Diceros bicornis minor: one gene and its partners. The protein of the gene in region 1 interacts with the protein of each later gene in a pairwise test. Links are inferred from orthologs where the notes say so. Each region holds a gene or a part of one and is shown in the gene's direction. Other genes may lie near its edges.

Region 1 (7,992 bases):
TGCTTAATCTCTACACCACCACTCTCTCAGTCTCCTGACCTCACTGAACTACAGCCACACTGCAGGCCTGTGTCTGGGACACACCTCTCCGGCTCTTGTACCTGGCTAATTCCTACTCATCCTTTAGGCCTCAGCTTACAAATCAGCCCTTCAAGGAAGTCTTCCTTGATTCGTCGATCCAGATTAGGACCTTCAGAGGGGTTCCTGTAGCATCCTGGGTCTCCCCACTCACTCCCTGGCTTTCATCTGGAATTATTTTTTTACTGTCTGGTTTTCCAGCTAGAATGTACGCCTAAAGGTAAGGATCCTGTCTTTTTATTGACTTCTGTGTCCCTAATGCTTAGCACATAGTTGGCATTCAATAAATGTCAGCTGTGGGTGGAGGAAAGCAACTAAGCAGGGTATCCTGGGACGTTTCCCCATGTTGCTACCACCTTCACCCCCTTTTGCCCTATCGGGGAGGAAAAATTTTTCCTTTACCCTTCTAGGTTCTTCTGGCTGGTCTAAGAATTAAATTGATATGAGACAGTTTAACAGGAGAAAATTTAATTTGATTACATTTAATTTGAGTACGTATGGGGGCTTCATAAGAATATGAGGCCCCAAAACAGTCAGGCAATTGAGGCTTATATGCTACTTTGAGCTAAGGAGAAGGAGATGGGGTCTGGGACTTCAAAGAGGAGGAAGACAGTTCACAGGGAGATGGGAAGAACAAATGTTTGGTAAACAAATGTTTGCCATACCATGCAGAGACAATGGGATAGAGAGAAATGTGAACAAACAGGCCTTGCTAAGCTCCCCCCATCTACCACACTTGGCTCATATTCTTTGCAGGTGTCTCTGGTGATAGCTCACCTTCCTGGAACAGGCCCCCTATCTAAATTCTTTAGGCAGTTAAGGGGGAGGTGAAAAGAAAAACTTCCTGAGTCTTCTGTTTCTTAAAAATAATCAGCCTAAAATAATCCTCATGCCCAAGAAACACACTTTGGGGTGGCAAATTTTGCTCCCTTATAGCCCCAACTGTAATGGGTATGTAATAAAGACAAACATTTCTATTCATCACCAAAGTTTTCTTGGGGAGAACACAGTGTTTAGAAGAAATATCGAGTTAGCAGATATTTGGTTAAGAACATGGACTTTGAGGCTAGAGTTCCTGGTTTTGAATCATGGCTCTGCTACTTAATGGCTGGAAAACCTTGGGAAGTTACTTACCTTCTCTAGGCCTCCTGTGTAAAATGGGGGTGAAAATAACAGTCCCTACCTTAGAGAGTTGTTGTGAGGATGATATGAATTAATACACATAAAGGACTTAAGAACTACTGGCACATATAAACACTTGGTAAGTGCCAGCTATTATTATCACTATTACTAAACTATTAGGGGTGGGAGGTTAGCTCAAGGAACCAAAGTTGATCCCCAAATTCTGCTTGTCAAGAGAGAGGTCCTGTTCACTCTGGGGTCTGTTTTGTTTGATGTTCAGGCAAAGTTGCTGAAGCCAAGTTGACTTACCTTGCCAGTTAGAGAGGAGGTAACCTTGACACTGGCAGAAGAAGGAGGCAAGGTTCATTTGTACATTCAACAAATAGTGACTGAATGTCTATTTTGTTCTGGACATAATGGAAAATAAGATAGACACAGCTGTTACAGAGCTCTCAAAAAATAAAGAGAGGAGAGAGAAGCTAGGAAGGTCGGGTACTGTTGCGGGGGGCATGAACAAACCATTTCTCCCCAGTGGGTGTGGCATGGCAGAGGAAGCTCTTGAGAGAATAGAAACGCTAAGGCAGGATTTTAAAGCATCTGCTATAGGATAGTCATGTAAATCCTCCCCTCCATCCCCTACAAAATCTTCAATAAAGTTTTCATTGCTCACTAGAGAGAGATTGAAGAAGGGGAAGATAGCAGATATCTGGGTTATAGCTGCTGGGGGAAAGATGCCATAGGCGAAAAAGCCCTTCCTTACTCTTGTGTGTTCCCAGCAAGGAAACAGTACAATGCATGATACAATATTTAATGATTATAAATGATACCCCTGTGCACTGCATAATACAAGGCTCTTTAAAATGAATATGAATTAAACAGTACAAATAGCAATCATATTAACTGAAGGAAGAGGCATTATTCAAGATAGGAAACTTGGGATTCTGAGGGAAAAAGGGCCATATCTGACGCTGGAAGTCAAATATGACCGCCAACCAGCCCCTTTGTGGTTAATTAGTCAAACTGGTGATTCCTGCAACGATAACTTGTTATTTTATAAACCATTGCTTATGATGATGCAGACTTTCTTAAACATAAATATCCTAAGGTTTAGGTGTGGGGACGGAAGGGGTCCTTCCCTGCTCCCATCCTTTTTTTGACTTCTAGTTTTCACTTCTAAGACATTACCATCTTCTAAAATAACAATTTAAAGAAATGTATGTTAAAACAAAAAAAAAAGCAGCAGCCCCTGAAGTAATCAGTCATCAACCTAAATAAAACAAAACTACCAATTTGCCTGAATTTCCAAGAGTGAAATAAATAAAGCTCTGTTGGAATTTACCTACACAAATTGAGACTTTGGGGGGAAGAGAGAAATTACCTAGTCTTTTTTTTTCTTAGATTTGTTTACTGTATAAACTCTGGGGTTTCTGCATCTTATAATGTGACTACTGATTAAAAAGATACATGGTTGTTTATTAATGTTCTCAAAGCACTATGCAAATTCACATCACCTTGGGTATATTTGGCCCCTAAAGCTAGGAAGTAAATATGGCAGCATTTTGTAGTTAACAAGGCTAAAATATGTTAATTCAAATAGTTGCCTCTGAATAGGATTTTTCTTTAAATAATTAATAGGAAAATGAAGAGAGCTTGAGTGGTCAAGCAAGAAATGTAAATGACATTAGTTTTCTTTTTTAGGCCTTATCGTCCCATGTCATCTGATGTTAAAATTTAAATATGATAATGCAGAAACGATCTTACAATTTGCAGTATCATGAAACAATACAGCTTTATGCCCCAGATTTTTTGACAGTAGTATTGAAACTATGATTTATAAGTACTATTTTCAAATGACAAGATCAGTGAAAAAATTAGACATTTTGAATTGGGTGGGGTCAGAAAAAGAGCTTGCCTCTCCTTTTATCTGTGGGACCATATTTTTTAAATCAAAAGTTAAGATAGAGGGCGTTAGTGTTACTGCACCAGGTCCGTTTTTGCCAGCCACTCAGAAAGCCAAACACTGAGATGATGAGATTGCAGAGAGAGAGAGGGTTTAATAACAACAAGGCTGCCAAGTTAGGAAACAGGAGAATGGATCTCAAATCTGCTTCCCTGAAAACAGGGACTCAGGGCTATTTATGGGGTAGGGGCAAGGTGGTCTGAAATGATTGGAGGTGAGGAGAGATGAGGTAATTGATGATCTGCGCAAGCGTAGTCAGGCTTCATGCCTCTTCGTAGGAGGCATGTTCACAGAATGGTGGCGTCAGCTTGCCCTGAGGGTGGGGCTTTAACCTCCCAACGTCAAAAGGTCGCTTATCAGACACATGTCTGCATGGGCCCAGTTGATGGGTTGGTGGTCTCAACCGGCCTGAAGTGGACAAGGGGTTCCAATTCCTGAAAAAAAAAATAGCTCAAACACCCATTACCATGGTGACCCAGGCTCCAGGGAGATGTCATCTATAGGAACCTAGTGGGAGTCGGTTAGCATATTGCCTAAACAGCACAGTTAACAATGGGTAAGTTTATCATGCAGATTTAAGTCCTGGCCTTGCCTTCTGTTCTGATAAGTTTCTAGGTAAGGCCATCCCCCCCTTCTTCCTGGTACAGGGAAGAAGACAGCTTTACAGATGGAGATTTCCTTTACAAATGTAAATGTATCTTAAAAAGGGTAACTAGAACTAAGAATGGGCTTAGCAAGGACCCTCCCAGATAACCGGAGATGTCTACGGTAATGGCCTGTTCTGGGGGCAGGCCTCCCATCCCAAACTGCTTTGGTCAGTTAGTGGGGGTGGGGGCCAAAGTGTCTTTCAGGCAGAGACATATTTTGAAGTGGCCAATTCCAATCCCCCATAGTTATCAGCTGCTTAATCATCAATGGCTAACTGTTTGCCGGTTTCATTAGAGCAAAGCAGAGACAATCCTAGATCTCTTTAAATGGATGTAAAATTACCAGTGAAATTCCTGAAGGGCCAAATAATACAGGAAGCATATACTTTTGCCCTCTTATTAAGATGATGAATATATTTCTTTAAAGCAGAAAAAGGCTTTACAAATCTCTTGTCAGCTTTCCAGCATCTAATCAGCCTCAGAATGGCAACCATTTCCTATTCTTAGGCAGCTGGTGAGAAATGCAAAGTTCAGTTGCAACCAGAGGCTCAGGAAAATCAAGGACCCCAGGCCTCCACTTCTAGCATTCTGCTATCACAGAGAGAGAATTTCAGAGACAGGGCCATTTAATATGCACATGTTTTAGCCAGGTGGTAACCATAACTACCTCCCGATTCTATGATTATTAGCTTTCAACTTAGGTGTGAGTGGCTCATTTTTTCCTTTTTTTTGGACCTAAAAAAAAGAAAAAAGGAAAAAGACCTCAGGGTGTCACAAATTTCTATCAAACAAGAAAATGAGTTAATTTAGTGGCCTTGGTAGACTATGAAGTTTTGGCCAGCTTTTCAGGTGTCTCAAGATTTGGGTTGCTTTACAGGGATGACTAAATTCATTGCAAACTTAATCAATAATTCAAGCTCATGCTAAAATATCCTACGTCTTATTTTACATTAAAGCATTGTAAGTATGCTTTATTTTGGAAGGCATCAACAACAGCAATAGGCCATCTTCTAGAAATGCATTCCTATACCAACAAGACTGTTAAGCAATGGGAATTTCTAAACGGGCACATCCTTAAGCAACTATCACACTGTACTCAGCTCCTGAGAATATTCTGGAAGCATCAACTGCGAATGGCTGCTTCTCTGCAGGGGAGAGAAATGAAATTCAGCAGAAGCAGCAGTTCTTGGAAGGAGAAGCAGTTTGCCGCTTAGGATGCTTTTATACTGGAATGGGTTTACTGAGAGCTACGTTCGTCTGGAGCTTTAAATCTGTAGACCGTTGAATATCACTCCGCCTTTTTTGAAGTTACAAAATACTTTCTGTCTCCGGGGTGGCGGGAATAGAAAGTTTGGGAAATTAAATGCCTAAGACTTCAGACAACTCAGATGACATTCATGCAATGGCATTCCTTGAACAACTTACTCAACCCAATCCCTTGCACCCAACCAAGGCACAGAACCTCTGCAAATTTTGCACCCCAAAAGAGGTGGGAAAATGCAAAGGTCTTGCTGCAGTTCCTGGAACGTACTGAGAGCCGCTTTGTTACAAGTGTATCCAACGTCCCCAGCACCAGGGACTTGTGGGGCGCGGCTCATCCCCGCTCCACTCGCTCTGCAGCTCCCAGAGGTGGCGGTTGTACTATGAAGGCAGACCTTGCCAAGCTGGCCGACAAGATGCTGCGCACCCCCAAGTGCTCGCGGTGCCGGAACCATGGCTTCCTTGTGCCCGTCAAGGGGCACGCGGGCAAGTGCCGCTGGAAGCAGTGCACCTGCGAGAAGTGCTACCTGATCACCGAACGCCAGAAGATCATGGCCGCGCAGAAGGTGCTCAAGAAGCAGGCCTCCGAGGAGGAGCAGGAGAGGCCCGAGCTGGCCTCCGGGGCCGCGGCCGCCGCCCCCGGCGCAAGCCTCCGCCCGCTGCCCCTGCTCGCCGCGTCAAGAGACGCGGGGCCGGGCCCCAAGGGCCGCGCGACCGCCTCCGTCCCCGGGAGACCCCCGCGGGGCCCGAGCCCCGGCCCGAGCGCCTTCCAGCCAGTCCTGGGCGGCCGCGGCCACGTGGGGCCGAGCGAACGCGCCGCCGCGGCCATGCCCGGTCCCGGGGGGCCTCAGCTCGGGGCGGAGGCCGCAGGCAGGGGCTACCCCGGCCGCCCGGAGCTGCGCAGGCCGCTCCGACCCGTGCCCAGCCCGCCCTTCGCCGACTTCGGTAAGATGCCCGGGCCCGCGCGGCCTTGCTCCCCACGCTGGCGTCCCAGGCCGCCCGGTCCCGCAGGGTGGGCCCTGGGGGTGGGGGTGGGGGCGGGGAAAACGCTACCCAGACCTAGGCTCGCTCTCCGAAACCTTTCTCTGAATACGGATTTGGGTTGAGTGCCTTTTTGCAAAAATGTAAAAAGAGCGACAGAAAGGAGTGGGTGGTCCAGAGGGCTTTTAACATTTAGCTACAGTTTTTGACTTTCCATCTTGCAAGAAAAACATGGCCTCTAGTCCGCTTAGCCGTGGCTCCTCCTCCGCGGGGGAGGCTGGCCCTACTGCGCTTGTGCACCTCTTCCCGCCTTTTTGTTGAGCTGGAGGCGCCTCCCCCAGGACGGTCCTGCGGTGGTGCTTTTTCAACTATGACTGCGCCTGCGCACCCTTCTCTCCCTGTCTGCGTTCTGGAGGCCCCTCCCCTCACCCGTGCCCTGGCCCAATGAGCTTGCGCATCCCTTCCCGCCTTTTCCCTCGGCATGGGTGGGAATGAGGCCCCTTCTCTGCCCCCTGCTGGAGGACAGCAGTTGGTCCATTGAGGTGTTGTCTCTTTTCTGTCCTCTCCCACCACGTGCATAAATTACGTTGTTCCTTATGTCTTGCTGCTTTCACTATTAAAGTATAATTTCAAATCACATGTAGATTTGAGTTTTAAGCAACGGCTCTTTTTGAGTATAAGACATGTGTTTTCTTGGTTTTCCCTATGGCAGTGTGGTAGAAAGAGCACAAGTCTGAGTCAGGAGGCTGGGGCCTGCTCACTCTGTCACCTTAGGCAAGCACCTTACTTCTGTGTCAGTCTCTCCCTCTGGATGCCCTCTGAAGGCCATTTCTGCTTTCTGGGACATTCTAGGAAAATCTAGGCCCCCAGGGAACTAGGTGGGGAAGACAGACCTGAAACAGCAATCCTAGGAGAAGGGTACCTTTCCATGACACAGTGCCTTTCTTTGTTCCATCTCTCAACGAACAAAGACTGAGCACTTAATTATGTGCCAAACGCCAGTGAGGAACAGGTGAGGGGGAAAAGTCACATTCCTTGCCCTCAGGGATCTTGTCCTTGTGGGAGAGACAGCACTGATCAAAGAATCACACAAATCAGTGGATAGAGCTCTTATAACTGATGGTTTAGCTGTGGTCTGAAGGAAGACTAGGCACTGAGTCCTGAAGGCTTAAGTAGGCAAAGTGGGGTTAGGGGAGGAAGCCTTCCAAGCCAAGGGAACAGCATCTGCAAAGGGCTTGATGTGGGTGAGAAAGAAGCTACTAGGTTACAGTAAGCGAGGAGGCTGGAGTGGAGGCAGGAACCAGCACTTGGGGCTTCACGGCTGTGCCGAGGACTTTTCTAAGAGCAGTGGGACGTGGTTGAAGGGTTTAAAAAACAGGGAGTGTTAAAAGCCTAGTGGCTGTGGGAGTTCTTTGTAAATGGAAGTGAGAGTTTATTATACTTTCACCTTTGGACAGTGATGTGATGCTCCTTTTCCTAGCTCTTTGTGTTCTCAACACTTCCTCACTGCTTACCTTCTCAGGGCGCTCTCTGAGCATCAACTCGGATTGTGTGGTGGGGTCTGAGTACCTGGCGAGAGAGCCTTCCAAGCTGTACCCCAGCTGCTCCAGCGTGCACTCGTACCGCCCGTTCCCACTGGGCTTCCAGGACGCCACCCCAGCCCCAGGGATCCCCCTGCAGCAGGGCTTCCGGCATGTGTCCTGCAGCCACTACCATGGAGGGGGCTTGGTGAGTCCCTTCCCTGACTCCTTTCCAGGTTCCTCCTTATCCCACTGCCCTTGCTGCTTTTATGGATCTTTAATCCCAGGAAGCCACTTGTGTGCCCACTCGGTGCCAAGCCTTGAGCACTGGAAGGAGGGATACAACATTGACCTTGTGCGGTGTGCGCCTCTGGGAGTGCACACATGTACACGAGTCCATTCACATGTAGACAAGTCGGCCCGG
Region 2 (7,031 bases), on another chromosome or scaffold:
TGTCATATGTGGTTAACGATAAACTGATACTGATTGCCTTGGCAACATATCCATTTGCTGAAAAAGGAAATAAAACCCATGGTTCATTTAAAACTTTCTATCTGCCAGGTTTCTTACAGTAATTTAGGAAATACTTTTTAAAAGCAATAGATATTAATAGCCTACAAATAGTAACAGGAAAATATTTCATGAGAGAAGATACTCATGAAAATGTGTTAGAGTATTTTTTAATATGAATCAGAGAGTTTTGGTGCCATTAATGTTCTTTAATGTTCCCTATTAAAATATTTTTTCTGAGGGCCAGCCCCATGGCCTAGTGGTTAAGTTTGGTGAGCTCCACTGTGGCGGCCGGGGTTTGGTTGTCAGGTGCAGACCCACACCACTTATTGGTGGCCATGCTGTGGTGGCGACTCTCATACAAAATAAAGGAAGACTGGCACAGATGTTAGCTCAGGGCAAATGTTTCTCAGCAAAAAAAAGAGAAAAAAATATTACTTTTGCTCTAAAATTTATACTATATTTAGTCTTACAGTAACTTCCTGACTCTTTGCATACTGGAATTTCCCATATTGGAATTTATATATGGTTAAAGAAAATAAAGTTTACTCTGAGGAAGCCCTAACTGTAGATTTACAAACAATAAAAGATCAGTGTTTTAAGGCTGTAGTGCGTAAAGCAGATAAAAATGCAAGTTTAAAACTCAAGAATTTTTTAATCATTCTTGTAGGTTTCCACCAGCAGGAACTGTAGCCTCATCATTCACTTATCTGTTATTTACATTCTACCTCAACTTTGGTTCCTCTGCTTTTGCTTTTCTTTTCTTTTATCAGATTCTGTTGGTAAATGAAAAGAAATGGAAGAGTTTTCAAAACTGAACCTAAATACTAAAAAATCACAGATTGTAGAACAGCCAAACACCACAAAAGGAGTCATAGCATTTCATTTCCATGCTTCAATTTGTTGGCTAGAAGCTGCCTTCAGCAGTTATCTCAGGTCTGGCTCACAATTTAGGAAGTCGGCTAGGCAGCCTTCCCGGGAAACGCAAAAAACATGACAGAGCCCGCACTCTGTTGGAACAGAAGCACATCTAGACTACGTTTGGGGGCACAATGCCAGAGTTTGCATATTTCCTTACCCTGTAATTAACTCTTGCTTTTGAAATAGGATTCTCACTCCAAGGGGATCCTTTTAATGAGTTTATACATTTATCTTATTTTCGAAGAGATTGTTCTACTGAATCATTGAATTCTGAAAGTATTCAAAAATTATCTCAGTTTAGTTTGTTGTTTATAACAGGGAATATTACATAGCCAATTAGTAGAATACCTAGAATATATAGTGATATCTACGGGACTTTTTAAAGATGCTAACAAGTTACCAAAAGAGTTCGAAAGCCTAAAGAATTATTAGACTAACAGTTGTTGAGCACTCATTATACACCATGTAATATACTAAGTGCTTTCATGCATGATTCATTCATTCATTCAACATGGACCTGTTGTCTACTATGCGCACTGTTCTAGGTCCCAGAGAACAGCAGTGAACAAAAAAAATCCTTGCTTTCATGGAGTTTACGTTCCAGTAGGGAAACAATCAACAATTAAATAAGTAAAACAGAAAGCATGTGTAATGAAAATAAGTGCTATGGAGACAAATTAAGCAGAGAATGGAGATAGTGAGTGACTGTGTGTGTGTGTGTGTGTGTGTGTGTGTGTGTGTGTGAAAGAATCTCATTCAAATGGTAAATTGATAGATAAGCAGAGATCAGAAAGAGTTGAGGAAATCTGGAAGTGGATCTCAGGGGGATGCTTGTTAAAGAGCACTGAACAATTATTTATTGAGTATTTCTTATGAACCACTTATCATTTAATCCTCACAGCAGCACTTCATCATCATTGTAAAATGCTTCCATTTTACAGGTAAGAGAATTGAGGCTTAAAAATGCAAAGAAACTTGCTTAAGGCCACACTATGTACAAAGGGCAAGCTACGATTTGAACCCAGATCTGCCTCACTCACAAGCTGTGCTTTTAACCATCGTCCTCCTGTCAATTCACCAACTGCCCAATAACGAAATTTCTACATGCTCAATATTGGTACCTACCTAAGAAGATAGTCAATTACAACATCACACTTAGAAAAAAATCCATTTGAGAAGAAAAAAGTGAATGAAGTTTGGCTCAATCAAATAAATAAATGAGAAAAATTCCTCTCCACTCTGCTGGTGAGGGTTCTGATCTTGTAAGTTACAGCTCTCCAGGCACAAAAAAGGAGATGCCCCACCTGACCCTGTGGGGGCAGGTACTGAAATTGTCTTTCAAAGCAACACTCTCAGGCCTGCCAAAAGAGGCCACCAGGAGGGGGAGAGGAAGAAGAAGGGGAGAGGAATAGTGTTTGTTGTTGGAAATCGCTATCATCACTTCCCCGTCAGTTCACCCCTCTCTTTTCAACTGAGTCTCAGCATGAGGTTTGGAGGTTTACATCTGGCTACATAATTGAGCTCTTCACAAGGTATAATCTATCTCAAGACTGGTCCTGCTGGGATGGGAGGAACTGCTTTCAAGACCCACCATCCCCATGACTCCACTTAAGCACTAAATTCCACAAGGCCTTAGCCATGTGGTGGCTGAGAAAGGGTGGCAGAGCTGTCACCATTCCGTTGTCAAGGCTTTGGGCCCCTTGATTTTCTCTTTGCTCCCTTGGAGAGTCGTATACCTGTGCATTAAGTGTGTGTGTAAAGACAGAAGGGTGTGCATAGGAAAATGGGGAAGGGGGAAACTTTCTCGGCCACTCCAGACCTGAATAAGTGTGGTTTTGCAGCAATTGAGTGATTTGAGGAAAAGTGAACATACTAACCCAAGCAATCAAAGGGAAGATTATCTTACTTAATACCAGGAGTAGATGTTTTTCTTTTTGCGTGTCAAGTCCAAAGAGGAAAATCAGGACGAGTGGCTTAGGTTGTAAACCTTAAGATCAAGGACACTTTCCCTTGAGCTTAGCTCTCAAGTTCTCAGTAGTCAACTACTCGTGAAACATAATTAATAGCACGATAAATATAAGTTGTGGAAGATGCAATTGAAAGTCAGAGGCCCCTTCCATGGGCCCCCTACAAAGAGCCTATCATAAAGAGGACTTAACGTTAGCAGGGCTAATAAAAACTATCAGCTATTAAAAGTGTGCTCTTCCCTAGCACCTCTTATTGGAGTTTGTCTGTGTGGGTGTGTTCGTAAGAGAGGAGTGGGTGAGCAAGAGTGTACTGGGTACGATTTGTGTATCTGCATGAGAAAACAGAAGCTCTGGATGAGGAAGAACATATGTTTCTGGGACTGCATCTGTGCAAAAAGAACACGGCCCCTGAAGTTGTACTAATTTAAAAAATAAACTATATTAAAAAGTCTTTTATTTCACACATGTCATCTCGGCACATTTCTCTCCTATCGTCCTTTCCGCCTGACCCAATAGTCCTTTCTCACCCTCAGGTCTAGGAAAACCATGTAATGTTTCCAACAGTCTGACAGAGCCTGCCTAACCAGCTTCACTCGGGGACCCCAGAGGCAAACCTCAGCAGCCCAAGAACAGAAGTGACTCTCCAGGGCGCACCTGCCTGGAGGCGGCCCCTCCGCAATCAGGCATAAATCACATCCTTTCCGAGGGCTGGGAGGAGGCCGAGCAAGGCAAATAGAGCCAGGCACGGCGCTAGCAGGCGGCATCCGTGGCGACTCGGAGAGTGGCGCGACCTCGGGCAGACCGCGCCCTCTCCCACCTCCCAGCCGGCAGGTCCAACTAGCCAGGTGTCGGCGCGCGCGGCCCGCCCCGCCCCGCCCCGCCCCGCCCCGCTCCGGGCCGAGTGCGCGTGCCCGGAGGGAGCCGCGCCCCCTCCCCCGGGGGAGGCTGGGCGCTCGGCTCTCGAGGCCGCGCTCCCCCCGGCTCGGGCCTCCCACCGGCGCGGGGGGCGGGGCAGGGGGCGGGGCAGGGGCGGCGGGGCGGGGCTCGCGCCAGTGCCCCCTGCTCCTCTGCAGCTTCGTCTGCAGGTCTCGCGGCAGGCTAGCTGCTCGGTCGCCTCCTCCGGCCCCATGGCAGCCCCGGGCTCCCCAACCGAATGCGGCTACATCCGGACAGTCCTGGGCCAGCAGATCCTGGGGCAGCTGGACAGCTCCAGCTTGGCCCTGCCCTCCGAGGCCAAGCTGAAGCTGGCGGGGAGCAGCGGCCGCAGCGGCCAGGCGGCCAAGAGCCTGCGGATCCAGGAGCAGGTGCAGCAGACCCTGGCCCGGAAGGGCCGCGGCTTCGTGGGCAACGGTGAGTGGAGCCCCGCCGGCCCCTGGACGGCCGCGACCCTACCCCCTACCCCTTTCCCTATCCCTCCCACACCTTTAGCACCCTGTTGCTTCCACTCGCTGCTTCCTGAGGGTGCGGGACCTGGGGTTCTGCCCACCTGTTGCTCGCCGTCCCTTTGTATGACCCGTCGCGCCCCAAGACTCAGACCGGCTTACTTGGGCAAAGCACTCTTTTCTAAAATAATCTCTTACTCAGTTTTGTCATATATGTATCTACGTATATTAAATGCACGTATATGTCTATGTGAAAGAATTCAGTCCAAGATTTTTCACCCCTTCCTTAACCAGCTCCCCCTGCGCGCCCCCCCCCGGGGCCTTAATCTGGAGGCTCCCGAAGTCTATAAACACTTTGAAATTCTATGCAGAAATTTGGTATGATCATTTTTCTGGGAGAAAGTGCCCCTAGCTTTTATTAGATTTTTTTTTAAAGAGTCTATGACCCCCGGAAATATTTTGAAAAGAAAACCTGAAAGTTCTGGCGCTCCTACAACCTGTAAATTGGGGTTGCGGTGCCTCGCCCAGGTACTTTGGGGCGCTCCACCCAGGGTGCGGAGCGAGTGCTTGATCTAGGAAGTGAAAAAATTGGGTAGAAGGCTTTGGGCCAGGGAACAACCACCCCACGCGCGGAGGAGGAGGAGGAGGAAGAGGACTTTGTCCCCGCCAGCGGCAGCCCGGTCCGCCTCCCTGCGCCCTGGCGACACCCTCGTGGGCACAGCCCTAGTCTCTCCAAAAAATTAAACTTGGAGTTGAAAGGGGTTAAAAAAAAAATAAAACACTATATTAGTAATTGATAGTCGGGGGAGGTGGAAGAAGATGGCAAACCAGCTGTGAAAATTAGAGAACATGATATATCATTTTCTCTCCTGTTAATAGTCAGAGGATCAGAGCCACACAATAACTCTTTTATTAGTTGTTTAATTTATGTTTTTCATTATAAAAGTATTATAGGCCTATTATAGAAAAGACAAAAGGAAAGAAATTGAACCATTAATTCAGTTGGGATATCAGTTTGTTTGCCCGCAATGTTGACCTGTTTCTCTGGGAAGTCACTTGGGCAATGGCAAATGCAGAACCCACTAGGAAAAAGAAAAATGCTTGCAGACCAGACCAGAGATTTAAAACAGCAGACCCTGGGAGGCTGTATTGTTTTCAATTTGTGTAAAAAAAATCCTAAAGAATCAGGCAGTCAGTGTTTACATAGTTGAAAGGCAGAAGATGTTAATGATTATAGTTAATGTAACTGAGTGCCTACTATGTGCTAAGAATTGGACTGTGTGGTTTACATTCACTATATTATTTGTGTTTCAAAAAAAAAATTTATGAGGTAGGTGTTTTAATCCCCATTATACAGATGAGGAAACTAAGTGGTTAAGTAACACTCAAGTTCCCACAGATAGTAAATGGCAGAACTGGCATTTAAACTACTAAGCCGGAATTTTTAAACCACTGATCAGTTATATTGTTAAACTTTCGGGTTATGAATACAAATTGGGATTTTTATTAGACCCTAAGCCTCTCTATGACCCCTCCCATTTTCCTCTAAATAAAATTGAGGTAGTCCTGAGAGAGTGGGGCGGTCTGAATAGCACAGAACTGCCACAGTACGTGGAAAAAAAGAACCTAAATTTACATGTGGAAGTCAGACTAAAGACTCCAGGATAACTGAGGTCAATTTTTGACCAGTAGAGTCATTGCACTCCATTAGTGTGCGCAGGTCCAGTGCTAAACTGGAACCAGAGTAGCTTCTGCTGCTTGGAGGACATAAGGGGGATACATATTAGATCTTCTTTCTTATGCTATGAGAATGGCTAGTCAGAAAGAGCAATGAGACATCAACTATTCAATAAATGGGGGGAATGAACAGAAGGAAGGGGAGTATTGCTGAGCGTCTCCTATGTGCCTAACCCTGTTCAAGAATATGTTTGCGTTTCATTATATCCTTAAAACGATTATATAAGGTAGATAGGAGGATCCATTTCACCTAAGAAGAATGTGTCAGTCTCTCAACATTAATTGGATGCTTAGTCCCAAACCCACACATGATCTCTTTTCTATCACGTGGTGAATTCATGTTGCTTGGTGAATTCAAGAACTATCAAATGAGTCTGTTCTTCACGTGGAGGTGCTGAATTAAACATAGACTCTGCTTGCTTTAAAACAAGGAGTTTAAAGTCTGAAGAAGGAAATCTCCCCCTAAAAAATGAGATATCAAGTTAAAAATGGTAACCAACCCAAAAGAACAGGTAACACATTATGGAGTTTAGAAGTATGAGTTAGACTACCAGCTGAAGGGAATTTTGAAAAGCTTCTTGGAGGAACTGAGATTTTAAACCATAAAAGTTCAATAGGATTGGACATAGGGAGATGGTTGGAGGAAGAGCATGCTAGGAGGGAACAGCAGGAATATTTCATCGTCGGCAGAATTGATACAGTAGAACAAAGGACATTGTCCTGGTGCTTCTGCTCTAATGCTCAGGGCAACTGCTTGAGTGGCTCTTCCAACTAAGGAACAAAGCGTTTGAAATATTTTTGATTACAGCAGGAGCTTCCCAGCAAGCTGAAATACCTCAGCAGCCTACACAGAAGTGCAAGTCAGTCAGAGAGATAAGGCAGCACACAACACCTACTTACTTTAAAGCCTCAGCTTTTTGAAACTCCAAAAAGTAATCGACTTCAAAGGAATTTGACATCAACATGC
Region 3 (7,140 bases), on another chromosome or scaffold:
ATCTATTGCAAGTGAGTTGGGGTAGGGTGGGATGGAATGGGGGAGGGGTGGGAGGAGGAGGGTCCCCTCCTCAGGGTCTCCCTCTGCTTTCCAGGGCCTCCGTCATCGCTGAAGCCTATTCTCAGCTCTGCCAGGCCTCAGGAGAGCGCTGGGAGGTGAGGACCCTGTGTTCTTGAATGTTTCTCTCAGCCGCATGTAAACCAGCCCCGCACCCCCCTTTAGTGATGGGGAAATTGAGGCCAGAGGGGACAAGGGACTTGCCTGATATATAAATAAATTCTCACTCGTGGCCCTGAAGCATTGTGCTAGACATGATGGGGGGGATGCAGAGCAGGGGAGAAGAGATTGTGCTTCCCTCCAAGAAATGTGCCCCCTGCTTTGCTCTGTAGAACCCCCATCATCCCCAGCACCACCCCTTCCATCCAGGAATAAGGCAGAAAAATTCAAGGAATGTTGATGACCCGATCCCAAGGCCTGGAAGTGCTGTAGGGACCACCAGGACATCTCTGAGGTGGTCCAGGTCTTGGACAAGAGAGGTTGTGAATTGGGCCCAGAGAGCCTGGGATAATTTAGAGATGTCCATTGAGGTGGTGGGTGGAGCCACATAAACTAAGGGGGTGGAGGTCAGGAGGAAATGGGAGGGAGGAAGCTGGGGCCACAACCCGAAGGCCTTGGCCTGGCAGAGAGAGTTTATTTATTACCACTTGGAGGAGGGGGAATTGTTGATAGTTTCTCAGCAGCAGAAGGAGGTTATGTGTCAGGACTGTCTGAAATGTGAGGGACAGAAACCCAATTCAACCTGGGAAAGCAACAGGGAATTTACTGGGCCGTGTAATTGAAGAGGTCAGGGACTTGAGGCATGACCTCATCCAGTTGTCAGATGATGTCATCAAGAACCATCTCTTAGTTTTATTTTCTGTGAGTTGGCTTCGTTCCCAGGCAGGGTCTCCGCATGAGCGGGCAGAGAGTTGCAGCTCCAGGCTCTGGTCCCACGAGCCTACCATCCCCAGTGGAGAGGGTGCAACAGTTTCCTAGTAGTTGCAGCTGTGGTTTCAGAGCTGGTTCTCATTGGCCACGCTGGGTCACATGGCTGACCAGTCACTGTGGCTCTGAGTGGCCAGGCTGGGGTCACAGGCCCACCCCTAGCCCTTCGGGTTGGGGTCCACTCCACCCAAACCTGATAGACTGAGAGATGGGGAACTGTGGTCCCTTAAAGGAAAATGGGAGTGGTACTTCCAGAATATAGGGGAGTAGATACTGAAAGGCAAGAAGGGGTTCCTATCTATCGTCTCCCACATTTTGTGTTACAGAAGGGGCAGAATGGGGCTGGGAAGCCCACCGGCGTCCATTCAAGCTCTGCCCTGGACTTGGAGGCCTGACAACTTTGGGGACCCTCTGCCCAGTTGGGGCCTCAATGGAACTAAGGAAGAAATCCCCCTTCCCTAGCTACGCGGACCAGTGGAAGGAAGACAAGCCGATGGAGGAACCCCAGAATGCTTATTTCCCCATCTCCTACTTCCCTCTCACAGAAAGTCTTATTGGAGGGGAAATTCCACTCACCATCTAGACTTAAGAAAAACCCCAAGCCAAAAGTTTTTGAAATATTTAGAGCTGGATGGACTCCGAGAGATCTCCTAGTTCAATAACCTTCTCTTCTCTTTCCATTTTTCATCTGTTTTTTTGGGGGGAGGTAGGAAAGAGTTTTAATTGTTAAATTTTTAATTACATAATTCAAAATATATTTTTCCTAGAGAAAAAAACCCACAAACATTATTCACCCAGTCATTTGGCAAATATGTATTGGGCGCCATCTTGCTCACAGCCACGAAGTAGGCAGACCCAGAGATTCCTGCCCCCGGGGGGCCCACCTCTTAGTGGGGGGAGACAGCAAACAGGGGAGCTGATAAATAAGATCGTCTCAGTCACTGACAAGTGTCTCAAGCAAAATAAAACGGGGACATGATAAGGAAATGACTAGGGGAGTGACTTTGGTTTTTTATATTGTTATTCATTTATTTCTTGAATGGGGCATGAGTTCACTTGGTTGGAAGTTCAAAGGGTACAAATGGTGTACAATGAGAAGTCTTTCTCCATCCCCCACCCCTCCACCACTCAATTTTCCACCTGGGGATGGTTGCTTTAGACGGGGGATCAGGGAAGATCTCTGCGGAGGGGACAACTGAGCAGAAACCTGACAGAGAAGGAGCAAGCCATGCAAAAACCCCAGGGAAGAGTGTTCCAAGGCAGAAAGAACAGCTAGTGCAAAAGCAGGTTCAAACTTGGCATTTTCAAGATAAGGCTTGAAATCTTTATGACCATTGAATTCCCCACAGTTCCATTTCCTATCCTATTGGTCAGCACTGCAGTGAGTTTGGAGTAGAATTTTCCAGACCTTTTACTCTGCATGTACACACATGTATATGGTACCTTAAGGTGTTTCCTTCATTTTTTTCATACCCTATGTATCATTTGGCAATTTGTTTTTTTTCACTCAATAATACATTGGAGGGCCGGCCCCGTGGCTTAGTGGTTAAGTGCTCGTGCTCCGCTACTGGCGGCCCTGGTTCGGATCCCGGGCGCGCACCGATGCACCGCTTCTCCGGCCACGCTGAGGCCGCGTCCCACATACAGCAACTAGAAGGTTGTGCAGCTATGACATACAGCTATCTACTGGGGCTTTGGGGAAAAAAAAAAAAGGAGGAGGATTGGCAATAGATGTTAGCTCAGAGCCGGTCTTCCTCAGCAAAAAGAGGAGGATTAGCACGGATGTTAGCTCAGGGCTGATCTTCCTCACACACACACAAAATAATAATAATACATTGGAGACCTCTTTCTTGCCATTTACACACCTCATTCTTTTTAGCTGCTGCCCAGCGCCTCACACAGGGATGTGCAATGGTTTCACTATCCATCCTCCTCTTGATGGACATTCAGGCTATTTCCAATTTCTTGTTGTCACCTCATTGCTGCCATAAAGATCCTTCATCAGGCTTCTTGTGTACATATAAGAATGGTTTTTACATTTTTAAAGGGTTGGGGGGAAAAAGGGCAAAAGAGACCCTATGCATAACATGCCTAAAATATTTACTATCTGGACCTTTATAGAAGAAGTTGGTTGACTGCAAGGCAAGTGGCACACAGAAGCGCCACCCCTCCCATTTCACCCGTGGGAAAGCTTTGACCCAGAGAGGAGAAGGGACTTGTCCTCTCACGGCCTGAGGAGACACCCAGAAAAATAATTATAACCTAGGTGGATCAGGATTCACGATCTCTCAGTAGGATAGAAGGGGACAGGATTACTCAATTCTTCAGAGAAGAATGAACGTCAGAGCATGGTCTAGAAGGATGAGGGAAAGGTCAGAGGCATCCGGGCGGAGGACCCTGCTTGGACAAAGGCTGGGAAGCTTGATTGCCTCACTTAGTAGCTGGGCCCTGAGAATTGGTGGTTTTACACTCCCACCTTGCACTCAAGCGCTACTGGGGTTCTGGGGGCTCAGGCAAGGGGGCTATAGCCCATATTTATTCCCTCTCTCCTGGCCTCAGTTTACCTATTTGTAAATGTCTAACAAGATTTCCTAAACTCCTGCCCCTGGCTAGGGCACCTTACGCGGGCCAGGTGGCGCTCTACGGGAGGGGTGTGACCACATGCGTGACGTCACGTGGGGCGTGGCCTGCGGGACCCGCTGCGGAAGCCTCGGAGGGTGTCAGGGCTCAGCGGGTAGCCGGCGCGTGGGGGAGGGGGCTCCCAGGAGCTGGCACTAGGGAGGGTCTCGTCGCCTCGGTGCCCTCCCATTGCTGGATGATCCCGCCATGCTCCGCGGGCGAAACTGAGTCACGGCGGGGCGTGCGTGGGGAGGGGGCCAGGGGCTTTATCCACACGGGGACCTGGAGTCCCACCCCCACCCAGGTCCAGCACCGCCCCCACCCCCTCCCGCCCCCACCCTGCGGCTGTGAGTCAGCGGCCGGCCGCGCCCCCTCGGCCCACTTCCTCCTCACCTTCCCGGGCCGGGCGGGGGGCAGTGAGCGGGAGGGGGCCCTCCTCGCCCATCCCCCACCTGTGCAGGGGAGGGGGCTCACCCCTGAGTAACCCCTCCTAAATTGGCGGAGATGAGAGACCTTGGGGGGCGGGGTCCGACGGGAGGATTTAAGGGAGAAAATTGGAGAGACTATGCTACACCAGAGGGTCCTCCTTGCCCCCCTGCTAAATGAGCAGAATGTAAAGAAATGCAGAAGTCGATAGGGAGGTGGGGAGGGTGAGAACAAATTGTGACCCCATTGAGATCCTCCTAGGAATTTCCCCGGTGGGAGGGAACGAGAGATCAAGGAAGGATCCCTTCCCCTCCACCAAGCTCCCCCTCTAATGTGGGGGCGAGCCCCAGCGTGCACCCCTATGCAATAGTGTTGGGGCAGGGGCAAATAGCGGAAGGCTGGGGTTCCGCGTTGCCCTTTTAAGCGCCCTCCAGCCTCCCACCCCGCCGCCTGGAGGTGTCGACGGCCCCTTTAAGACGCAGGGCATTGTGGGTGCGGGGAGTGGAATTTTGGAACGAAATGTAGCGAAGAGAAGTACAGTAGTAAGAGTAACGTTGTAGCCGCCGCCGGCCGAGGAGGCGCGCCGGGGAGGGGACGCCGCACCCCCTTTCTGCCGCAGGGACCCCCCCATCACACCCCCAGAGGGAGGAGGCGCCCGAGGACCCGCCCCGGCCCACGTTCCCCCCAGGAAGCCGGACTCTATGGGGCGGGACCCTGGGGGAGACTGAGCAGAGCCTGGAGCCAGCCCCGAACCCCTGAACCTCAAGCCCGGGGCGCCCCGGGAGCAGCCAGCCCGTGGGCGCGCCGCCCGCCCGCCGAGCAGCCATGAGGTGAGCCTGGATCTGCCCCCAGCCCCTTCCCCGCCCGGCGCGGGCTCCCCGCCCCGCCTTTGTCCCCCTCCCCCCCAGCTTGCTCCGGGCTCGAATTTGGGGACAGGGCATGGGGAGCCTCGGATCTGAGGTCGAGCCCCCTGGGACGAGCTCCAAATACTGGCCGCTTCCCCGTGACTCCCCAGGCTCGGGGTGGTGCCGGTGAGCTTCTCCTGGGAGCCCTCGGATTTGGGGGCGCTCCGAGGACTCTCGGATTTTTTTCAAGACTTTTTCAGAGGACCTCCAAGTTGGCAGCTACTCCCCGCTGGGAGGCCAGGGTTCAGGCAGGGCTCAGACTCGCCTCCAAATCTCAACTCGGGCTCCGGGAGGGATTGTAGGGGGCCGGTTTGGGGGTCCTGGAAGAGAGATTGAGACGTAGAGCTTGGTTTGCGGGGTGCCCCTTTACGTGGTGCTGGGAAAAGTCTTCCCAAGTGGGACCTCGCTCCTGAACTTCGGGGGTACTTAACCCTCTCAATTTGGGGGTGCTCTCGTCCTCCTGGAAGAGGTTGGTGCCGACGGATCCAGGGACTCAGACGCAGCCTGGAGGGTCTGGTGGGACCCCCCTCCCCCACTGCTCCCCACCCACGATCTGCTGAGACGGGCTGTGCCTAGGACTGAGCGAGCGCTCCGTGCGGAGGGCGGCGCCCCGGCCACGGGCCAGCAGGGCGGCCCTCTCCCCCACCTGCCCGGCCCTGGGGAGGGAAGGGGCGCGGCAGCTGGGGGAATGGGGGCCTTTGTCTTCCTGACTCACCTGTCGAGACAGCTGGTGTTTGGGGGGCGGGCAAGGAGCGCTGTGGGCCGGCTGCTCTCCCCACCACGGCGCCTCCCCCTTCTCTCACCACCGCCCCCCCACCCTAGCCATCCGGAGCTGTGGGGTTGGAGGAGGGGCGCTGGAAGGCTTCAAGGTCATAGCCCTCTCCCCCTGGGACCCAGGCTTCCCAGATAGTTCCAGCTCTCTTCCCAGGAATTGAACACTGGGGGTGGGGGACCCAAGGATTTTGTCTTGGGTCCCTCAAAAGTCCTGGGCTCACCTGAGGGCGGGGCCCGTGCGGACTGGGGGACCGGACTAGGCCCCCCCATTCTCCCCTCTCACTGACCCCCCATAATCTCTCCCTTGAGGCCTGAGCCTGACAATACTATCTCCCTTCCTCCACTCTCTCAGGGACTTCCTGCCCCAAAGCCCCCAGCTTGAGGGGGGAGGCCCCTGGAGACCGATAGGGATTAACCCCGTGGTGCCCACATCCTCCCACTTCCCCATTCCCCCTACCCCTGCCATCTGACATCAAGGTGGCCTGCCTTTTTATGACTGTCAGAGAATCCCCTTCCCCCATTTGTTCCTTCTGATGTGAAAGGAAGTGTTGGAAAATTGGGAGCAAGGGGCACCCACAGACACCCTCAAGACTTCCTGCCTACCCTTTTCTCATACAGCAACATGCCTTCAAGGTCTGCCCTGGAGAGGGGGCCGTGGTCAGGAGCCTCTTCCTTCACCCTCTTCCCCGGGGACTCTCCTCTCCCACTGCCCCCCAGCCCTGCCCCTCGCCCCCCTCTCCCCGCGTTTCCGGTCCCAGGCACCGCGGTGGAAGGCGGATGGCGGATGTCCGAGCGAGGGCTGCCTCACTCGGAGACCGTAAAAGGGCAGGAGCAATGTCTGGGCCGGCCTCCCACCCCCCTCCAGCCTCGAGGCCCTGGCCCTCCCACAGGGCCCCCCTACTGCTGGCCGGGCGGAACCTCCCACCTCCTGGGGGGTGGCAGAAGTTGCTGATGCCTGTCCCATCAGAGGGTTACTCCTACCTCCTGTGGGGTCTTCCCTGCCGATGGCCACACCCGCCTTCCTGGGCTGGCCCCTTCTCCTGAGACAGCTAGGATTCAGAACGCCCCATGCCGCTGTATGGGGGCAGCTGGGGAAACTGAGGCTCAGAGAGAGAAAAGCCTGGCCCAAGATCACTCAGAAATTCCTATGCAGTGTTGCGGGAGGGGAGGGGACCAGGATGCTCTGATTTCTGGCTGGTTTGACTGGAGATGGTCTTGAGGGCAGTTGAAAGAGAGGATGCTAAGATGGAAAATGACAAAATATAGTTCTTTTTCTCCCAGTTTGACAAATATTTGTTGAGTGTATGCTGTGTCCAGGAATCTGAGCTGGGATTCTGGGAAGGCCAGGAAGCGGGGCAGAGGTCTGAGAATCCCGGGGCAGAGGGGACTCAAGAAGAATTTGGGTCCGTTTCTTTCCTCTTCCAATAATAGT
Region 4 (7,093 bases), on another chromosome or scaffold:
CACAATTTAAAAGGATACTCAAGTCTTTTAAGACAACAAACATTCACTTTACAAAGATACTGGGAAAGCCCTATTCCCGTTTAGGAAAATGTAAAGATTAAGATTTTTCAAAAGAACACATGGGACAAAAAGCCATCAAGATTAAGAGTGATTCTTAAGTCTAAGAAACATTCCTGCAAGAACTCCATGGTGATGAAAAAAGTTTGGAATACTGTAATTTTCTATTTTAAATGTCAAGAATAGCAATAAGCAGATACAGCCAATCAAATTTAAGAGAACAGAAAATACATTTCCACTCGTGGTTAATTACTGATGTTAAATGTAGAACCATTTCTAGTGTCAACATATTAGATGACATAATTTTTCAGAGTAAGAAAAGTTATTATAAGGACTTTCAACTGGAAGCTCACCTATACATATATTCTTGTATGTTGTAACTTGTATTAAGATGATATTTTTGTAATAACGTGACTAAAGAGTCCTTCCACATTAATTTTTACAGTTTTAAGCTTTTTGATGGCAAGTGATATATCCCAAGAATTTTTGTATTCCTCATTGCACTTGTCACATGTCGGGTAATTAATGGTGTAATATATACCTAAAATGCCTTGAGGCAGGAGGGTGAGCGAGAAAGGGGAGGGATACCGTGGACACCTGCAGACAGGGCGCTTGTCTCAATGAGAGGTATCACCCTGTTGGACCCAGTTCTGCCCTCTGTGGGACCAGCTTCTCACTATTCTTAAGCATCAGCCATCTCTCCTCTGAAATCTGGCTATTCATGCCTACCTCAAATGTCTGCCGTGTGGATTAAAAGAAATATTGTAGGTGAAGGTTCTACACAATTCCTGAAGCATAACAAGTACTTAATACTTTTTCTGAACATATTTTTCTTTTTCTGAACATATTTTTAATAAGTGCCTATATGCACATGTGCTGTTCTACCGGTTGGGAGTTCAAAATAGAACAAAATAAAGTCCTTGCTCTCATGAAGCTTACAGTAGGGGGAGGTGACAGCCAAATTTACCCATAGATAGAACATGTCAGGGGGAAACAAATGTTATGAAAAAAATTAAAAGGGTGGTAAGCAGAGAGACTAACAGAGTATGTGTGTGTGCGTGTGTGTGTACACACATGTGATATTTTATAAAGGTGGTAAAGGAAGCCTTCTCTGATAAGACCTGGGAAAGGGTGCAAGCAGGCGTGCAGATGTGGGAAAAGCTTGCAAGGAGAGGGAACACCGAGGGCAAAGTCCTGGAGTAGAAAGCATGCTTGGCCTGTTTAAGGATCAGGAGGGATTCCAGGGGGTAGAGCTCAGCACACTAGGGGAAGTGAGGACACAACATCAGCGAGGCAGCAGGGGGCCAGAGCTTGTGAGATCTCAGAGGCCTTGGTACCTGTCTTTGGGTTCATTCCGCGGGGCCGGGGTGGGGGTGGGGGAACCACTGAAGAACTGCAATAAGAGAACTGATGTAGTATGCATATTTGGAAAGGCAATACATATCAGCTATGATCAAATGCTGTAACCATAAGGGATTTAATAGGTCGGAAGTGAATATTGCTTACCACTGTTCTTTAACTCTGATCTGGCTCATTTAGATTATAAGAACCGAGTGAGCCATATGAAATTGTAGATTCTATGGGTTGAAAATGGTCGAACATCGTTAGAAGTTTCAACCTGACTTATTGGATAGGATTAGTAAAAGGGCAAAGAACACGGGTTTTAGAATAAAATAAAAGTGGATTTGAATCCTGGACCCAGGACTCATGAGCTATATAGTCTTGGGAAGTTACTTAACCTCCTTCTCCTTGGGTTTCCCCTTGTGTAAAATAAGGCCTTGGCCAATATGAGCCACAAGGTTGAACTGAAGATTAAATGAGATTACAATATAAAGCATTTAGCACAGGCCTGGGAGCTTAATGAACAAGTGAACCGATTAAGAGAGGGGATCGAATCTTTTACAACTAGCAAATCAAATGAATAACTTGGTACCAAAACCTTTTAAAACCACCTATCATTTTCCTAGGTACTGAAGCAGCATACCTTACATTAGTTTTAAAGAGACAACAATTTTTTTGATCAAATTAGTATTCCTTGCACTTATAAAATTCATCCTCTAAATAGATAATTAAGAAGGTGAATATTCCGTGGCCCTATTAACAGCTGTGGATGATGGAGAACTTAGAATATTTGCGAGTTACATGTTTTTAACTTTGTCTACCTAAGGCAACTCCATTTCCTCCATCAAAGTAGCTTACTTTTAAAAACAAACTCATTCTACGTTCTTCAAAAGAACAGGCCAGAAGCTACTTGCCACTCAAAGAGTATTTGTTTGAAACCCGTAGTTTCAATACAACTCAAAAGTGTTCCTCAGAATTGGTGCGAAGCAAAATTTTACCAAAAATCCCAGTTAAGTTCTTCACAGTTAAAACACAGTAGACACGACAGATACTTCAGCCAGTGTAACTCGCACAATCGTCAGGCCGATTTTGAATAATTTTGTCCATGTTAATTGAACACGTCATAAAGAGCTTGCAATAAAATGCAGATACAGATTTAGTGACTGACAACGTTCTATAAAGCAGAGAACTACATTGTTGCAGTTCAGAAAATTCTTCCCCAAACAAACCTAAATATTTGAAATCCCCCCATCATGCTGCTTGGAAAATCTCTTGCCCGCTGTATGATTATTTTTGCAAGTTTGTAAATACGAATGTTGACTTTCGTTTTCCGAACTAGGTACAGTACATGCTCTTTATTTCACTTGTTTATTGTGGCTGCATTTTATTACTGAACACCCATGTCACCACGAAGCGCAAGATCGCCAACAGCATCGCGTCCCCTCGTTATTCCGTACACCGCGACGCTCAGTCCTGGCTGTCGCTGGCTCCCGGAATAACGGAACGCCGCGACAAAGCACAGCCTGTCCCCAGAGGCGCGCCCGCTGCTCGCACAGGTCCTGCACCGGCAGAGCGACGCCGTCGGGGCGACGAGGGGCGCCTACGCGGGGCCCGCTGCTTCTCAGGCTCCTTCCCGCCGCGTGGCTCCCGAAGCCAGAGGGGACCGCGAGAACACGGGGTGTTAGTGCGTTCCCATCAGCTTCGCAGCGGTAGTCAAAGCCCACCGCCAACGCGTCCTCTGGAGGCGGACCCGGAGCCAGGCAGCGAAGACCCGGCTGCTTCCCAGACCCGCCGCTCCGGGTCCCGTGGCCCAGCCACCCCCTCCCCCTCCCCCTCCGCATCCCCTGGGCACGCCCCCTCCCCGACCCCGCCCCCTCCCCACGCAGGCGCGCGGCAGACCCCGCCCCTCCCCCTCGCTGGCAGGGCTGGGCGGGGGCGGGGCGACCCTCGGAAGGGGCGTGGATGCCGGCCTCGACGCGCGCACGCGCTCTCGAACCTTACGGCTACGTGTCGGGCCACGTGACGCCCACCCCGAAAGTCCCCCGTGAAGCAACAGGACGTTAAAAAAAAATCCTCTTTTGGGGGGTGGCGGATCAGAGGGTTTTCAAAAACTATAGTAACGGGAGGCGAGGAGGGGGCCGGGGGGCGGCGAGCGCGGCCCTGGCGCGTCCCGCTGGAAATCCCTCTCACCTAACGCGCCGCCCGACCGCGCCCGCCAGACGAGCCGCCTGCTGGCGAGCAACGCGAGGCGGCCCCAGCCCCCGCCCCAGTCCAAAGCACGGCCGCCCGCGACCCTCCCCCAGCCGGCGGCCCCGCACCGACCCCTCCCTCCGCTCTCGCCCGCCCGGGGCGGCGACCCCGGCCCGGCGCCCAGGCCCGGCTCGCCGAGCGCCGCCTCCGTCACGCCGCCCGCCACCGGCCCCTCAGGCCGCCCACCCCGCCGGAGGGAGACGGCGCGGCAGCGGCGGCTGCGGCGCCCGGACCCGGGGCCGCGGGGGGCGGCGGCGGGAGGAGGAGCGCGCCGGCCGGGCCCCGCTAACGGCCGCCCTGCGCGGCCCCGCCCGGCGCCCGCCCCCGGCCCTCCCCGCGCCGCCCCTCCCCCCGCGCCGCCGCCGCCGCCGCCGCTGGCAGCGCCGCCTGAACTGAGGCGAACTCCGCCGCCAAGTGAGTGAGGAGGAGGAGGAGGCGGCGAGGAGGAGGAGGAAGAGGAGGAGCGGAGTCAGAGCGCGGCGGCAGCGGCAGAGGCGGCCGCGGCGGGGACCAGCCCAGAGAGACCCCGAGCCCGCGGCAGAGGCGGCGGCTGAGCGGGCGCGACCAGCCGAGCGAGCGGCGGCGGCGGCGGCCCGGCTCCTCCTCGTCCGGCGCCGAGCGGCCCGCGCCCGCACTCGGCCCGCGGAGACCCGCCTCCCGCCCGCCGGCCTCGTGAGGGACGCGCCGAGCCGGCGGCCAGGAGCGGCGGCGGCGGCGGCGGGCCGGGAGCGCGTCGGGCCGCGGGCCGAAAGTGCCTGCGGGGGCGGGGAGAGCGCGGCGAGCGCGCGGTCCGGCCGCCCCGGCGCCCGGCGCGGGAGCGGAGCGGAGCGGGACGCCGAGTTCCGAGCGGCCGGCGGCCGGGGCTCCCCGCCCCTCCCTCCCTCCTCTCCGGCGGCGGCGGCGGCGGCGGGCGGAGTGAGCTGCGGAGCCTGGAATATGGTCGGGGAAATGGAAACGAAGGAGAAGCCGAAGCCCACCCCGGATTACCTGATGCAGCTGATGAACGACAAGAAGCTCATGAGCAGCCTGCCCAACTTCTGCGGGATCTTCAACCACCTCGAGCGGCTGCTGGACGAAGGTGAGTCGCCGCGCCGGCCCCTGGCGGCCCGCGCCCTGGCGGCGGCCGCTCTCCCCGGGACCCGACGCCCGCCGGCCGGCGGGGAGGGCAGGGAGGTCGCGGCTGGCGGGGCCGTGCGCCCGCGAGCGGGAGGCCCGGGCGGGGGTGCACGGAGGCGGCGCCGAGGCCGGGCTCGCGGGCCGGTCGGGCTCGGCGGCGCGGGGGGGCCCTCGGATCGGGACCGCGCGCCCCGCGGGTGTGTGGGGGCGGCCGCAAGCCCCGTCCCGCGCCCCCGGCGCCCGGCCGCGGCAGTGGGCTCCCGACGGCCCCGAGCTCCGCGGGCCTCCCGGGGAGGAGCCCGGCCTCGCCGGCCCGCGGGCGCCTGAAGGACACCGGCCCGAGCCGCTCCTGGGGCCTCCCGGAGGACGCCGGCGGGTCCCCGAGCGGAGCTCCCGCGGGGCTGTGGTTTGTTGGAGTTTGTGTGGCGTGTAAACACTCGAGGGGAGTAGCGCGGGCCTCGTGAATGTAAAGGAATGCCGCGGGCGCCCGAAAGTAACGCTGATGGAGCCCCAAATGACAGCGGAAAGCACTTTCGGTCCTTTTGTTTGGGGAAGCGAGAAGTGTTGGGGAGTTGAACTTCACTTTTGGGGTGGGGGTGGGGGCGAGCGCGAAATACCGCGAGGATGAATGTAGACGTAATCCCGAGTTGGAGAGAACTCCGGCGGAGAGCCTGCTCCCCGGCACGCCGCTGCCTGAGTTTGCAGGACAGGAAATCAAGAGGTCTGAAAGGGCGAAAAGAAAAACGAGCAGAAGTTTGCCCAAAAGCTTTGTCGGTGGGGAGCGAAGAGTGACAAGAAGATTAATTTTGGCTAACTCTGGAATTTTTCTGCGAGTTCGTGCAGCGGCGACTTGGAGCATTAATATTTGGTAGCTGTGCCTTTCTGTGGACGCCTAGGGAATAAGATGACCAACCAAAAAATCTGTTTTGCAAATCGAGAAGCAAGGAGTTTCTTTTTTCGGTTTAGAAGCATCAGCGGAGGACTGTTTAAAGAAAACTGGAAACTGTATTTTTATAGAGGTGAACAACGGATTTTAGGCTTTTCACGAGAATTTCCCGATTTTTACAGTAGAGCTGGGGAAAAGGAATCTGAAGCTTAGAGAGTTGGAATGGCACTAAGGAACAAAAGACCGGAAATGTCTCCGAGATAAAAGATGGTTAAAGAAGACTCCCGGGAGCTTTTGTTGTCAAGAAAGTCATAGAAACAACTTTAAAAGTACAAAAGTTAGGTATTAACTGCGTTGTCGTTTTTGCATACATGTGTTACACATACAGCAGTGATCCATATTGCAATGGGCTTTTTCAACACTGTTGAAACAGCAAGTGTGTTAATTTCGAATTGCTCCAGAGAAAAGTTGAGCTGTCTCTTTAAGGGGTTCTACTTTTCCTATTTGTGTTGGCTTTTGAAAGGTTGTGGAGGCAGAAAACTTTCTGGAATGTCAAAAAAAAAATCTGCTGGAACTCTTAAATTGAGTGTTTCCAAATGTGAGCGCTAAGGGGCGCCAGTTATTTTTTTTTTAAACATGAGAAATGTTTGGAGCAAGATGTGTAACATACTCAATAATCTGACCTACATTAAATTTAGTTGAAATTTAAATGATAGTATATTATTTTATCTGTCATTTTGTGTCCATATATGTATTTACAAACGCTGAAAATACTTTGTTTAAAGTTATTGGAACAATTTTACCACGTTTCAAAAATATGATATTATTTTCCCTTGGCATGTTTTGGTGAAGTTAAAATTTTAGTAGTACTAGTAAAAATTTCTAAGCACTTTTTTCTTAAGTACCGTTGTTTACAAGGAATTCTTTATAGACATTAAAATGAAAATAGGCCTTGACAATACTTAGGGTTAAAGTTGAAGAAGTTTGAATTAAAATGTCGAGTTCAATCAAACAGCATAGGCGATAATAAAAAAAGTTTGGAAATATTTTCATCTTATGCATACTATTTAAGAAAGTAAATAATTTGAGTTTTTCTGATTAATTCTAAAAGGCTTCTCAGTTGTGCTTTTATGTTATCTAAAATCTCTAAATGATAATTTGGAGTTCTCTGTTAAAAAGTTTCTAACCTTTGGCTTCAAAAATTTTTAATTTTCTAAATCTAGAATTCCGATTATGTCATTGTCTCTAACAAAAGTTTGTTCATTTCTCTCTGATTGAAATAGTAACCACTTGAGTTTTAAATGTTGGAGACCACTAGTTGAGGATGAAACATTCTAAATAATATTTTTTTTCCTTTTAATATGCTTCATTCCATCTCTTGTCTTAGTCTGTCTTGAGTTGTAGCCTTTTCAACTCCCTGTGGTAAAGGTTGCTTCTGTATGG

What was found.
Region 2: the proteins of DMRTB1 (region 1) and PKP2 interact in a two-hybrid assay, tested with the Homo sapiens proteins (2 studies listed by BioGRID). The link is inferred for Diceros bicornis minor from reciprocal best matches to the Homo sapiens genes DMRTB1 and PKP2.
Region 3: the proteins of DMRTB1 (region 1) and VASP interact in a two-hybrid assay, tested with the Homo sapiens proteins (2 studies listed by BioGRID and IntAct). The two-hybrid records come from large-scale screens. The link is inferred for Diceros bicornis minor from reciprocal best matches to the Homo sapiens genes DMRTB1 and VASP.
Region 4: the proteins of DMRTB1 (region 1) and QKI interact in a two-hybrid assay, tested with the Homo sapiens proteins (2 studies listed by BioGRID). The link is inferred for Diceros bicornis minor from reciprocal best matches to the Homo sapiens genes DMRTB1 and QKI.

What each region holds. Positions count from the first base shown.
Region 1 is NC_080752.1:15,754,298-15,762,289, forward strand, and holds the start of DMRTB1 (doublesex- and mab-3-related transcription factor B1), read left to right. Parts: upstream 1-4,974; 5' UTR 4,975-5,195; coding exon 5,196-6,012; intron 6,013-7,570; coding exon 7,571-7,776; intron 7,777-7,992.
Region 2 is NC_080756.1:31,062,545-31,069,575, forward strand, and holds the start of PKP2 (plakophilin-2), read left to right. Parts: upstream 1-4,025; 5' UTR 4,026-4,072; coding exon 4,073-4,295; intron 4,296-7,031. UniProt on the Homo sapiens protein: A component of desmosome cell-cell junctions which are required for positive regulation of cellular adhesion.
Region 3 is NC_080773.1:19,738,712-19,745,851, forward strand, and holds the start of VASP (vasodilator-stimulated phosphoprotein), read left to right. Parts: upstream 1-4,132; 5' UTR 4,133-4,854; coding exon 4,855-4,859; intron 4,860-7,140. Other genes in the region: PPM1N (probable protein phosphatase 1N), read left to right, coding at 1-11, 95-155, 1,311-1,379. UniProt on the Homo sapiens protein: Ena/VASP proteins are actin-associated proteins involved in a range of processes dependent on cytoskeleton remodeling and cell polarity such as axon guidance, lamellipodial and filopodial dynamics, platelet activation and cell migration.
Region 4 is NC_080778.1:7,347,818-7,354,910, reverse strand, and holds the start of QKI (KH domain-containing RNA-binding protein QKI), read left to right. Parts: upstream 1-4,089; 5' UTR 4,090-4,584; coding exon 4,585-4,726; intron 4,727-7,093. UniProt on the Homo sapiens protein: RNA reader protein, which recognizes and binds specific RNAs, thereby regulating RNA metabolic processes, such as pre-mRNA splicing, circular RNA (circRNA) formation, mRNA export, mRNA stability and/or translation.